Linked DNA regions of Daphnia pulex. The main gene of each other region encodes a partner of the protein of the gene in region 2 in a complex. Links are inferred from orthologs where the notes say so. Each region holds a gene or a part of one and is shown on either strand. Other genes may lie near its edges.

Region 1 (2,708 bases), on a different chromosome or scaffold from region 2:
AGGTGTACAGCTGGGCGACGAGCTTGTTTTAAAATTAAACTCGCCGGGTCCGTGTTATCTAAAAATACACCACCCCTTTTTAGTTGCATTTCATTTTATTGACTCGACTGGGAGAGGATGAAAAAAAAAATAAAAATTTAAAAAAACCAACCCAACCGACGATTTGCAGCACTAACACGATATTAGAGGCCTGTTTGTGTCATTGTCAAATCAATATGCGGGGGGGGCTTTGATACGTCGAAACTGCTGGATCTGCCGAGTGGTGGGGTTGGCTGTCGGGATCCTCGTGTGGGCTGTCCGGAGAGATCATCTCTCCCGTCTAACGCACAACTGGAAGCTTTTCTCAAGGACGTACGAGTCTTGGCAATCGGCCTGAGTGCTGGGCCCGTGACTCTTTTTCTTGACATGCATTATTCAAGAGTGTTGTTGTTGTTGTTGTGGTATATTGTCTATACGTGGGGCCAAACATATAAATCATCACGCGTTCGGACTCTCTCATCAAGGCTCTCCGGTTACAACCGTCGATCGAGAATTGATTATGTCTATGTATGATCGGAATCCTTTCTCCATGCATCAAGTATACAGGCACGATAAGACTGAAATTTCATAAGTCTCGGGGAAAATGATTAATTGTTATTTGTGTTAATAGTCGTCGCTGTTTGATTCTTCGTCGTCGTCGGAGCTCGAATGGGTTGATCGCGGTGCTGGTGGGGCCTTGGTGACGTCAACTTTGCCGCTGTTGAGCAGCGATGGATCGTAACCTTCTGCTCGCATTTTCTGCTCGACGGCCATTAACGGAACCCCAAAGGCAAGCATTTTGACGAACCGAAGGATTTCGGGATTCGGAGGCGCCACCGCCGTCTGGTGGACGCTAGAAACATCTTCAGGAAAGACTGGTGGAACGGCGGATGGAAGGATCTGAACGCTTGCAGCCACTGGTACAGATTCTGAGCTGGTGGCAGGCACTGTAGGTGGGATGGCCGGTATTGAAGTAGTTTCCAGTGCAGGAACTGAAGCCAACTGTTTTCAAAAGAAAAAAGAATCAGCCATTCATTGTCTATAAATGATAAACATACCCCAAAGTGATACACTTGAGTGAGTTGGCTCGACATGTATTGTTAAATAACTGAGTAGGTATGGTCTTGCTTAATCTAAATTTGTTTCTCATGAAAATTTAATTTCATACCAATTTTCCCTATTTATGCATCTTTAAAGAAGAGCTGGTGGAATTGAAATGTTTAAATGAAGGAATTTACCTTTGCTTCGAGAATGGCTAATGTGGCTTCAACATCTTGTAGTCGAAAGTTGAGATCCAGCAATTTGGTATCACATATAATTGCAAATTTGTTTAGTAACTGAACTGAATTGGAAACAAACTGGTTGAAATAGCTCAAAATTCTTTTAGTTTCGATGGGCGGAACCTGTCAAACATTAAAATGTGTTACTGCCATCATCCAATTTAAACGAAAATGAAAAATACAAACGAACCGAAGAGAACTCGACAGTAGGACCGAAAAAAGGTAGTCCTTTATTTTCCATCCCTTAGTATTTCTTCCTTGATTAGAACGACGTGGAATATACGAATTATTAAATCACATCCATGGGATAAATGTCGCGTTTGATTGTTTTGTTTTTCTTCTAGCAGACGACACAGAATCCATCCCCTTCAGGCGCAGCGGTCGAATTATTTGAGGAACAAGGCAACTCTGTTGTTCACTTGCAATCCGGAGGAGAGAATTCTGTCTCATTTCCACTTCGTTCGCCTGTTCGTCCGAAAATGGTATAGTCTCGTCGATTTAATATCTCGCAACATCCTTTGATATTTAACCATCTTATATGTTTATATAGCATCTCTTTTTGCAGTAGAATTCGATGATGTTTATTAGCATTCTGTGTCAATTGGTAGACTTTTCGTTTGACTGGTATAAAATCTGTTTTGTCACTCTGTCTGTCATATGGATACCTTGACTAGACATGTTATTTTGACTGTTAATACTAGCATTACTTAAAAGTTTAAGGTGTAAATTTCTCTTTGTAGTTGTAAGTATGTGGTTGTTAAGTATGTTGTGCATTTAAACTGTCATAATTTGTTGTCGAAAACACCGGCTCATGACTTGTTGATCTCGTTTTAGGTGAACGTACCAAAGAGTCGTCGCACCTACTGCAAAAAATGCAAGACCCACAAGGTCCACAAAGTGACGCAGTACAAGAAATCCAAGGAGCGTAGTGCTGCCCAGGGTCGTCGTCGTTACGACAGAAAACAAAAGGGTTATGGTGGTCAAACCAAACCTATTTTCAGGAAGAAGGTATGAAGACTTAAAGATTGGTTCACTTGAATTGTGTACTAATGCTTCTCATTGTTGAATTACGCAGGCCAAGACCACTAAAAAGATTGTCCTGAGGATGGAGTGCTCAGAATGCAAAGTCCGCAAGCAGATCCCCCTCAAGCGTTGCAAGCACTTTGAACTTGGAGGTGACAAGAAGAGGAAGGGACAGATGATTCAGTTCTAGACTGTTTGTCATCACCTTGTGCTGGCCAATACAACATCTTTGGCGCCTATAGTCTGTTATTAGTCTTCATTACTTTCCTTAATCCCTATGATAATGTAGGGAAATGGCTCCATGCGAGACATTTGGGTATTTATTGATTTCAAATATTTGCTAGGTGAAAAATCAACCAATTGATTCCAAGTATTCATGTGAGAAAT
Region 2 (3,758 bases):
TGAGTAATTGACGTAATTGTGTTATAAGTTGGTCCAATTGGTTGCTATGCTTAACTGAACACTCTTTTACATTGGCAGCCTGCGCTGTGTTGCTGAGTGCCATTCGCGCCGCTTTGTACGGCTCCCATACTTCAATTAAGTTGAAAATTAATCCCATATAAACACTGGTAACCTAGAAAAGAACCATACAATTACAACATATTGGAGTCGTTGGTATCCGGAAGAGATTAATAATAATCTTAATTACCCAATTATCTGGAAAGAATTTGTCAACTATTTCTCTCATTTTTGCTGTTTGATTGTGGAGAATATCAGGAGTGAAATAAAGACAAATCACGAGCATGGCTGCTTGTTGAGCAAGTGCAGTGCTTCGGTGATCAGGATGCGGATGGGTTGCAATTTGGTGATAGATATCATCTGATCTCAAATGACCTATTACTACATCCAAATAAATTGGAGCAATCGGAATACGTCTAAGAACAACCACATATAGGCATTACTTAAAATGAATCAAAAATAATAGAATTCATTCTACTTGAAATAGTCTTCTGGGTAATGTTGAGGCCTTTTTCCTGGCTGAGATTTCAAAAATCCAGTTGAACGCAATAGCTGGCATACTTCATCCAACTTGGAATTAGAATGAGTTCTTTGAACAGAATATCTGTAATAAGAGACTAGCATTCTCTCCCTAACAGGCCCATCAACATGATTATCTATGACTAGTAGCATGATGCCATATAGATAAAGTGCCTCACACTGCAGAGGAAAAAAAGGTTAGTTTAAAAAGGTGAAGCATATATAAAAAATTCATTTTTATAACCAACCATGAGCTGTTTGCCTTCATCATTTAAAATAATTGTTTCAAGAGTTTGTTGGATATAAATCCCTTCATCAAGTTCATAAAGAAAGGTGTTCAAATCACAGACATACTTGTGAACACTTTCAAATGCAAGATAGAATCTTGTTAGGATTTCAATATAATTCTTTCGTAACTCCTCATCCAATTCCACTAAAACCTAGAGTAAGATGTGAATTTTTAATGGAGAAAAAATCTGAATTGATAACTCACTTACATCGCTTCCATTAATCTTTGAATCAAAGACATCTTGTTCTTTAAAATATCGAAAATCCAATACAATTTCATGATATTTATTTTGATCGGACCTTACAATGAAAACAATAATAATAATAAAATAATATAACTGGATTTATAGATTTTAAGTGACTATTACTGAAAAATCTGTGGAATAAAATCCTTTAGACGTAATAGTTCAGCAATTATTGCATGAGCTCTTGAAACCAATCTCAAAAGGGTCTGTCCACACAGATTATTTTCTGCTAAAAAATCTTCAGCCATGATTAATTAAACTTGACTGTCGAGCCGGGCGTATCCATAGAATAATAAATTTAGGCTAAATCTGGCTAAATTCTAAATTTATAATCTCGTCTGTTTACGTTGATCACTTGTCAAAACTTGTGAAAAATAAAGGCACAGGCCTGACAACATGCGCTAAATCTTTTTTCGTTTATAGATGTCTCTGCTTTAACAACCATTCCAATTTTTTCCGGTAAATAGCTAAAACGTGACGGCTAAAAGGGAAATAAACATAAATAATTATTTCATAAAACAAAATACAATAATTTTATACAAAATTGTGCGGCGTACGGAAGAAACGGAGATTTTTTCCCCTCAGGATTATAGAGTCAATTTAGTCCTTGGTTCCACATTCAGTTTCGTGTGATTTTTTAAGGCTCAGGTGTCGCACAGAACACTCACGTCACGGGGTTTGCACGTCTCAATTACCAGCAATCAATATCAATGACAAACATGGAAAAACTTTTATTTACACTTTCCCTGAAAAAAAACCATAACCTTGAATTTTGAGAATTCAACTTGAAACATTTCTCCGTTGGTTAGTTATTAGTTAACACGCTAAAACCCGCACCCCCCGCACGACTACGTCTGCCTAACCTTTTTAAAATTTCAGTTGACTAATTCGATAAAGTAAACACATTTATTTTTTAAATAATGCACTCCATTTGCTAAATGTCTACTCCAGTTAATGGCTTCCCTATTAATCAACTGGTAGCTACTAAAACTCGTCGTATAAACTTTAAAGCCGCCATGACCAAACAAGGTCCTTGGGTATACGCCTTCGGGTTATTGTGGCTATTGGGATAACTATGTATTCGTTTTTTGTCATCCCCCCCCCCCCCAAGATGGCAGTACAATAGCTGGAAATAATGGCAAATGTTGAGGTGAAAGAGGTGGCAGTAAAATCGGGGCAATATATAAACCATAATCGTTCATTTTGTAATGATGGGTGTGGTCGCTAGGGGAACCATATGTATAGGGTAGTGAGGGAATGGTATCGTTAAATTCGTTATGTGCAATCTTTATGCATGGCTGTGTTCTTAATAGAGTTTTTTATATCGGTGCATCATGTCGCACATTGCAGGTCCGTCGCCCAAAAAATTTAGGTCGTCTTTGGCGACTTCATTGAATGTTCCTGTGTCCAGCAATAACCAAATTTCCCATACAGCGATTAAAGATCTGTCTTTAGAGAAACAATCGTAAGCACAACCGTGATGTATTTTCTATGTATATTTTTAAATAATCATTTGCGATTTAACGTAACCGTATGTCTGCGCTACAAAGGTCTAAAAATGTTTAGTGGATGTCATGTGATTTCTTATCGGCTTCCCATTGGTTTAAACGTTGTGTGAACGGTTTCCCATTGGTTCGGTAGTTTAGTCATGTTTAGGGAACAGTTGGCGTTCACACTTTGCGCTTTTCGGCATTATTTTCTTTATCAGCTGAATCTGCGTGAAAAACTACAAGGAAAGATGTAGTTTACATCGTGATTAGTTTAACATTTAAATTAGATATTTGTAATGTCAGAAACGCCACAGTCCTGGTATTGTGAGCAGCGTTCGTCATTTGTTTTATGTTTTGATTGTCATTTCTAAGGGATTCATTTATGTAGTTTACATGAAATTACAGGGAATAATATAGTTGAGTTTCGTTAGGCACTTCTAACGATTTCTTTTTATCGAAATAATTGTTTGAGCCCCAAAACACGGCTATTTTTTAAATGAATAATTAGGAGGTTGTCATTTTATTTCAAATTTAACGAATTATTTTGACGTGGATCGCAACACGTCGGGACCATCAAATCACAAATGTTGTTACTCGCCAGCAAATACTTTGTTTCCATGATCATGGAAAATGGAAAAACAATGGAAAAAATCTCGTAGGCGGCATGCATCAAATGGCCATTTTTATATTTCTATTATTATTATTTATTTGTCAAAAGAGTGTCCATCAAGTGTCTCATTTATTAGAAAATGGAGTATTTCACTGATGATGTTTGGTTTACGGCACTTTAGCCAAACACCAGACACTTGATTGATAGGAGATTGATAGGAGAATAGGAAAAATGCAAGAGACACGTTGATCAAAGAGATATGCAAATTACGCGAACTGTTCTTAAAATATAGATGAAGTCCACAAGGGAAACTGAAAAGAGCTGTTAGCAGTAAACAATATCTAGCGATAGCGGTGGGTTCCATTATTCGTCGGATTTTGACCAAAACATTTAATGTGCACCAGAAGTTGGCAACATAATCTTCAAAAATTCCGCGGTTGAAAGGAAAGACTCTGGAGAGAACTTGTTGCAAAAGCCCATTATGAAATTGTAAAAATAGATACCAAATAATGGTAAAAGTGGCCAATGTTACAATCCCAATACTTATCA
Region 3 (3,758 bases), on a different chromosome or scaffold from region 2:
GCCGGACCCGTGGGTCCTGATGGAATTGGCCGCGTGTTTGATGCCGATCGTGCTCAAGTGTTTGCTGGTGCTCGACTGCTCGACAAAGAACTGGTTGTTGAGATTGTAGCCGAAACGGGCCACAAACAGGTGAATGTTGCGCATGATTTCCAGGACGTCGAGCCCTTGCTCCAGGGTCTGGCTGGGCAGCCGGTCGGGCAGCGGCTTCAGGTTGAAAGCCAATCCGGCCAAGAGTCTCATCTGGCCGTACTTGCGCCAATCGTGAGAGGCCAAAGCGGCCAGATTGTAGAACGTCTGGCCGAGATAGTGTTCCACCCGGTGGGGAACGCTCAGCTGCTCGTGCCGGCCCAGGGGCAAGTCGCCCAGGGCGCTCAAACAAGGCGACTCTTTGAACGGGTTGCGGGGCGTCGGGTGGAGATGGGCGTGCGACTGGATCCGTAATTCCGTCTCGACCGAGGCGCACAGGGGCTCCAAAATATGGACGTCCAGGGCTCGGCGGATGAATTTCTGATGGCCTTCCACCAGCTGTCGAGGATTGGCCAGATGCTTGACGCTGGCCAGAGCCGATTCACAGTCCATGACGGCCATCAGAGTCTGTCCAATCCGGGACGATTCGAAGCGTCTTTCACGGGCTTCCGGCAGGTAAGTGTTGAGGAGAGATTTGTGCCAGTAAAAGACTTCGCAATCGGCCAGGTAACTCAAGCGGTGGCGTATGCCAACGGAAAGCAGCTCCATCTTCTGGAGGCGATGGGCCAGCAAGGACAATTCTTCGTCCTGGAAGGCGGTGCAGGCTATGGCCAGCGAAATCCTGGCCGTCGAAACACGGGATGATGTGCAGGGACCTTTCAGGACTCGCTGGGCCAACGCCAGAGCCGCGCTGACCGTCTTCCGGGGACGTTTCTTGCTGCTCTTCTCGCCGGCTAATCGCTTGGCGGCCAACTGGACTACGTCGGAGACGGAACGACGGAGCTGCTGTTGCAGGTGCATCCAGGCTTGAGGGTAATCCGTCAGCTGTTTCTCGATGGCCTTTTGCAAGGTCTTGATGAGCTCAAACGTCTGAAAGGCGGCCATGACTGTGCCTTTGGAAATGACTGGCTGGATGGCCAAGTGGAGGTTCAATATCAGACGGACGACGCCGCTCAGTTTGGCCACGTAGCGAAGTCCCTGCAGGACCAAACAGCACTGATTGGTCAATTCTTCTTGACTGTTGACGTGCTGGCCGCTCAGCCTCGACAGCCAGAGGACGATTTTCGTGTTCCACATTTGAAGGTCTTTGGCCAGCTGCTGGGAACGCTGGCGGACGTACTGGAACCGGGCAGAGCCGACACTTTCCAGCATTTTGCTATCGACGGCCCGGTCTCCACGGGGTAGATAGAGCGACAAGAATTGGTCAGGGAACCACAGACACGACCCGACCAGAGGGACGGCCATGATGGAATTTTTGGCGACATCCAGGATGGTCTTGAGCTGGCGGTTGTCCACTTTCAGGCCAATGTGAGCGTGCAGGACAAACAGGCAGACGATGCTGAGGAACTTTTGCATGTTCTCGTAATTGTCCCGCTCGCCTTCCTTGTCCAGACGGAACGATAATTCTTCGAGGAAGCCCTTGACGTTGGCTGAAATCTCGTCCAGCAAGACTTTGTTGTTGCTGGTGGGGAAACTCTGGTTCATGCATCGGAGGAAGAGCGTGCCCGAAAGAGTTTTCTCGGTGATTTCGTCGAGCGACAAGTCCAGCAGCCGCAAATCTTCCGGCGTCGTGTCGAAATTGGAGGCGTTGTGTTGAATGGATCGAACTACATGCTGCAGCTGAGCAACATGTTCCCTCAGCAAGTTGTTTCGGTTAATGATGGAATCCAAATTCACAAGGATTGACTGAAAAGCAAAGAGTGTGTGTTAGTTTCGGGATATTTTTGAGAGAAAAGTTGAGAATTAAAATACCAGCACACATCCCATTCTTTCGAAAATGATTTTGAAATGGGTTTCGCCAATCTCAAAGTATTTTGGTCCAGCGTCTGAGCTGCAGTACAATCTTGAAAGCTGGCCCACCATGTTTTTGATCACTTTGTAGCAATAGTTGACGTAGCTCAACAACTTTTGCAATGTTTCGACCATTCTACCGGCACATGCATGGCCCTCTCCAGACTGCAGAGCTTTCTCGTCCACACCCTCACCGTAATAGAGGAGAGGGTAATAGAAGGACCTCCCCTCTTCAACCAGAAAGTCCATCTCGCTGACTAAATGCCCCAAAGCCAGGACGACTTTTCTCAGCTCTTCGTGATCAGAGTGGACAAGGTCGACTAGGGAGATGTCTTCGCTGGGAACTAAATCCAGACTGACTGTCTGACTGACATTTTCCTTGCTCAAATTTTCGTGAATTTGACACACAGCTTCCAGATCCGAGCCACACTTGACCATGAACTCGCTATATTCTCTTGCAACATATTCTTTGGCCACCTCTACATTAAAAAAAGGGCAAAAGATTAGTGAAACTGATTACCACAACTAAAAAAGAAACCAACTCACTTTCTGCGGCATATCTCCCATACTCGTGGTTGGAAACTGTCGAGTTCCCATTCATCCCTACCATTTTCAAAATCAAAGCAACACGATATTTCAATAAAAATCAATTAAATCATTTAAAAAACGCCCGTGACTATAATAACACGTAAACAAGCTCTGGAAACACAAAAAAATAATCTGAATCTTCAAATTCTCGGAATACCAAAGTCGTCTGCTAGATCACAAAGTTGCCAGATGGGATTAAATCGAAACAGTTCCAATTTTTCCAAATTGGTTAATTTACATCTTTCGATGATGTAACATTAGTGTAACAAGGGTATTGAGATAACAAAGAATAACTGTGACGTAACAACTATAAATGGTCAATCGAAAAACATTTTGATGTGTTTCTGGCGAAATGGTTTCCCACGGTCTAAAACATCGTGAGAAAATAGATTACGGGGAACCTGGGCCCAGCAATCGATTGGGGGTGGTGGATTAATCTCTCCCCCTCACCCCAATCCAATATGATGAAAACTAATGACGCCGGGTTGATCTTGTTTTATACAACCCCAGTGGGAATTACGAGAGGAGTTAGACGGTGGGGTGAATTATTCGCACCACCCCGAAATGTCTGGGTGGGTGCCACATTCTTTCCTGGACAACCGTACTACTGGGCAAATGGTGAGAAAAAAGTGAACGCGCAAGGTCACCCACACCGGACAGGTCCAGCAGCAGTAGCATAGATATACAGCGGCTCGATTTAAACAACCCACCTGAGATATGCCAAGGGTCTCGACGGATCGGACATAGCGGATGAGGTGCGAAATCGAAGAATTTTCTCACGATTCCGCCCCAGTACCCAAAAATTATTAATTGTAACTTGTGAATCTATATATCCTGGGCGCCCGTCTTTATTTTATTTCGCTCCACCCACACACAGACATCACCCAACCCTCTTGGTCCACCTAAGTATATGTAGCCGGACTGGGTGGCCCAAAGTATTTATTCCCGTTCTGGCCATCGGCCGAGTATCACCACCAGCTACTTGCAGCACCACCACCAGTTCTTTTCAACTTTTCAAAACTTTCACAGTCAATTTATCCCCCAAACAGAAAATCGTAACACTTGTACGGCTTTGTTTATATTTTGTTAGTTTAGTGGCCGGCCAGTTCTATGTGTGTGTGTTATGGTGGCTCACTGATTGATTGATTTCTTCCCGAGTGATTGAGAGGATTCAGTGTGTGTGTGTCTATACT

The links.
Region 1: WASH complex subunit 5-like (region 2) and WASH complex subunit 3-like share a complex: the UniProt entries of both Homo sapiens proteins name them as parts of the WASH core complex. The link is inferred for Daphnia pulex from reciprocal best matches to the Homo sapiens genes WASHC5 and WASHC3.
Region 3: WASH complex subunit 5-like (region 2) and WASH complex subunit 4-like share a complex: the UniProt entries of both Homo sapiens proteins name them as parts of the WASH core complex. The link is inferred for Daphnia pulex from reciprocal best matches to the Homo sapiens genes WASHC5 and WASHC4.

The regions. Positions count from the first base shown.
Region 1 is NC_060025.1:880,064-882,771, reverse strand, and holds WASH complex subunit 3-like, read right to left. Parts: upstream 1,650-2,708; 5' UTR 1,540-1,649; coding exon 1,489-1,539; exon of another isoform or gene 1,422-1,488; coding exon 1,257-1,421; exon of another isoform or gene 1,216-1,256; intron 1,135-1,215; exon of another isoform or gene 1,021-1,134; coding exon 643-1,020; 3' UTR 528-642; downstream 1-527. Other genes in the region: 60S ribosomal protein L44, read left to right, coding at 1,778-1,780, 2,133-2,306, 2,374-2,511. UniProt on the Homo sapiens protein: Acts as a component of the WASH core complex that functions as a nucleation-promoting factor (NPF) at the surface of endosomes, where it recruits and activates the Arp2/3 complex to induce actin polymerization, playing a key role in the fission of tubules that serve as transport intermediates during endosome sorting.
Region 2 is NC_060017.1:7,246,436-7,250,193, reverse strand, and holds the start of WASH complex subunit 5-like, read right to left. Parts: upstream 2,148-3,758; 5' UTR 1,667-2,147; exon of another isoform or gene 1,650-1,666; intron 1,591-1,649; 5' UTR 1,358-1,590; coding exon 1,233-1,357; intron 1,165-1,232; coding exon 1,074-1,164; intron 1,017-1,073; coding exon 825-1,016; intron 757-824; coding exon 536-756; intron 474-535; coding exon 248-473; intron 173-247; coding exon 1-172. UniProt on the Homo sapiens protein: Acts as a component of the WASH core complex that functions as a nucleation-promoting factor (NPF) at the surface of endosomes, where it recruits and activates the Arp2/3 complex to induce actin polymerization, playing a key role in the fission of tubules that serve as transport intermediates during endosome sorting.
Region 3 is NC_060026.1:1,374,381-1,378,138, forward strand, and holds the start of WASH complex subunit 4-like, read right to left. Parts: upstream 2,763-3,758; 5' UTR 2,588-2,762; coding exon 2,524-2,587; intron 2,457-2,523; coding exon 1,939-2,456; intron 1,873-1,938; coding exon 1-1,872. UniProt on the Homo sapiens protein: Acts as a component of the WASH core complex that functions as a nucleation-promoting factor (NPF) at the surface of endosomes, where it recruits and activates the Arp2/3 complex to induce actin polymerization, playing a key role in the fission of tubules that serve as transport intermediates during endosome sorting.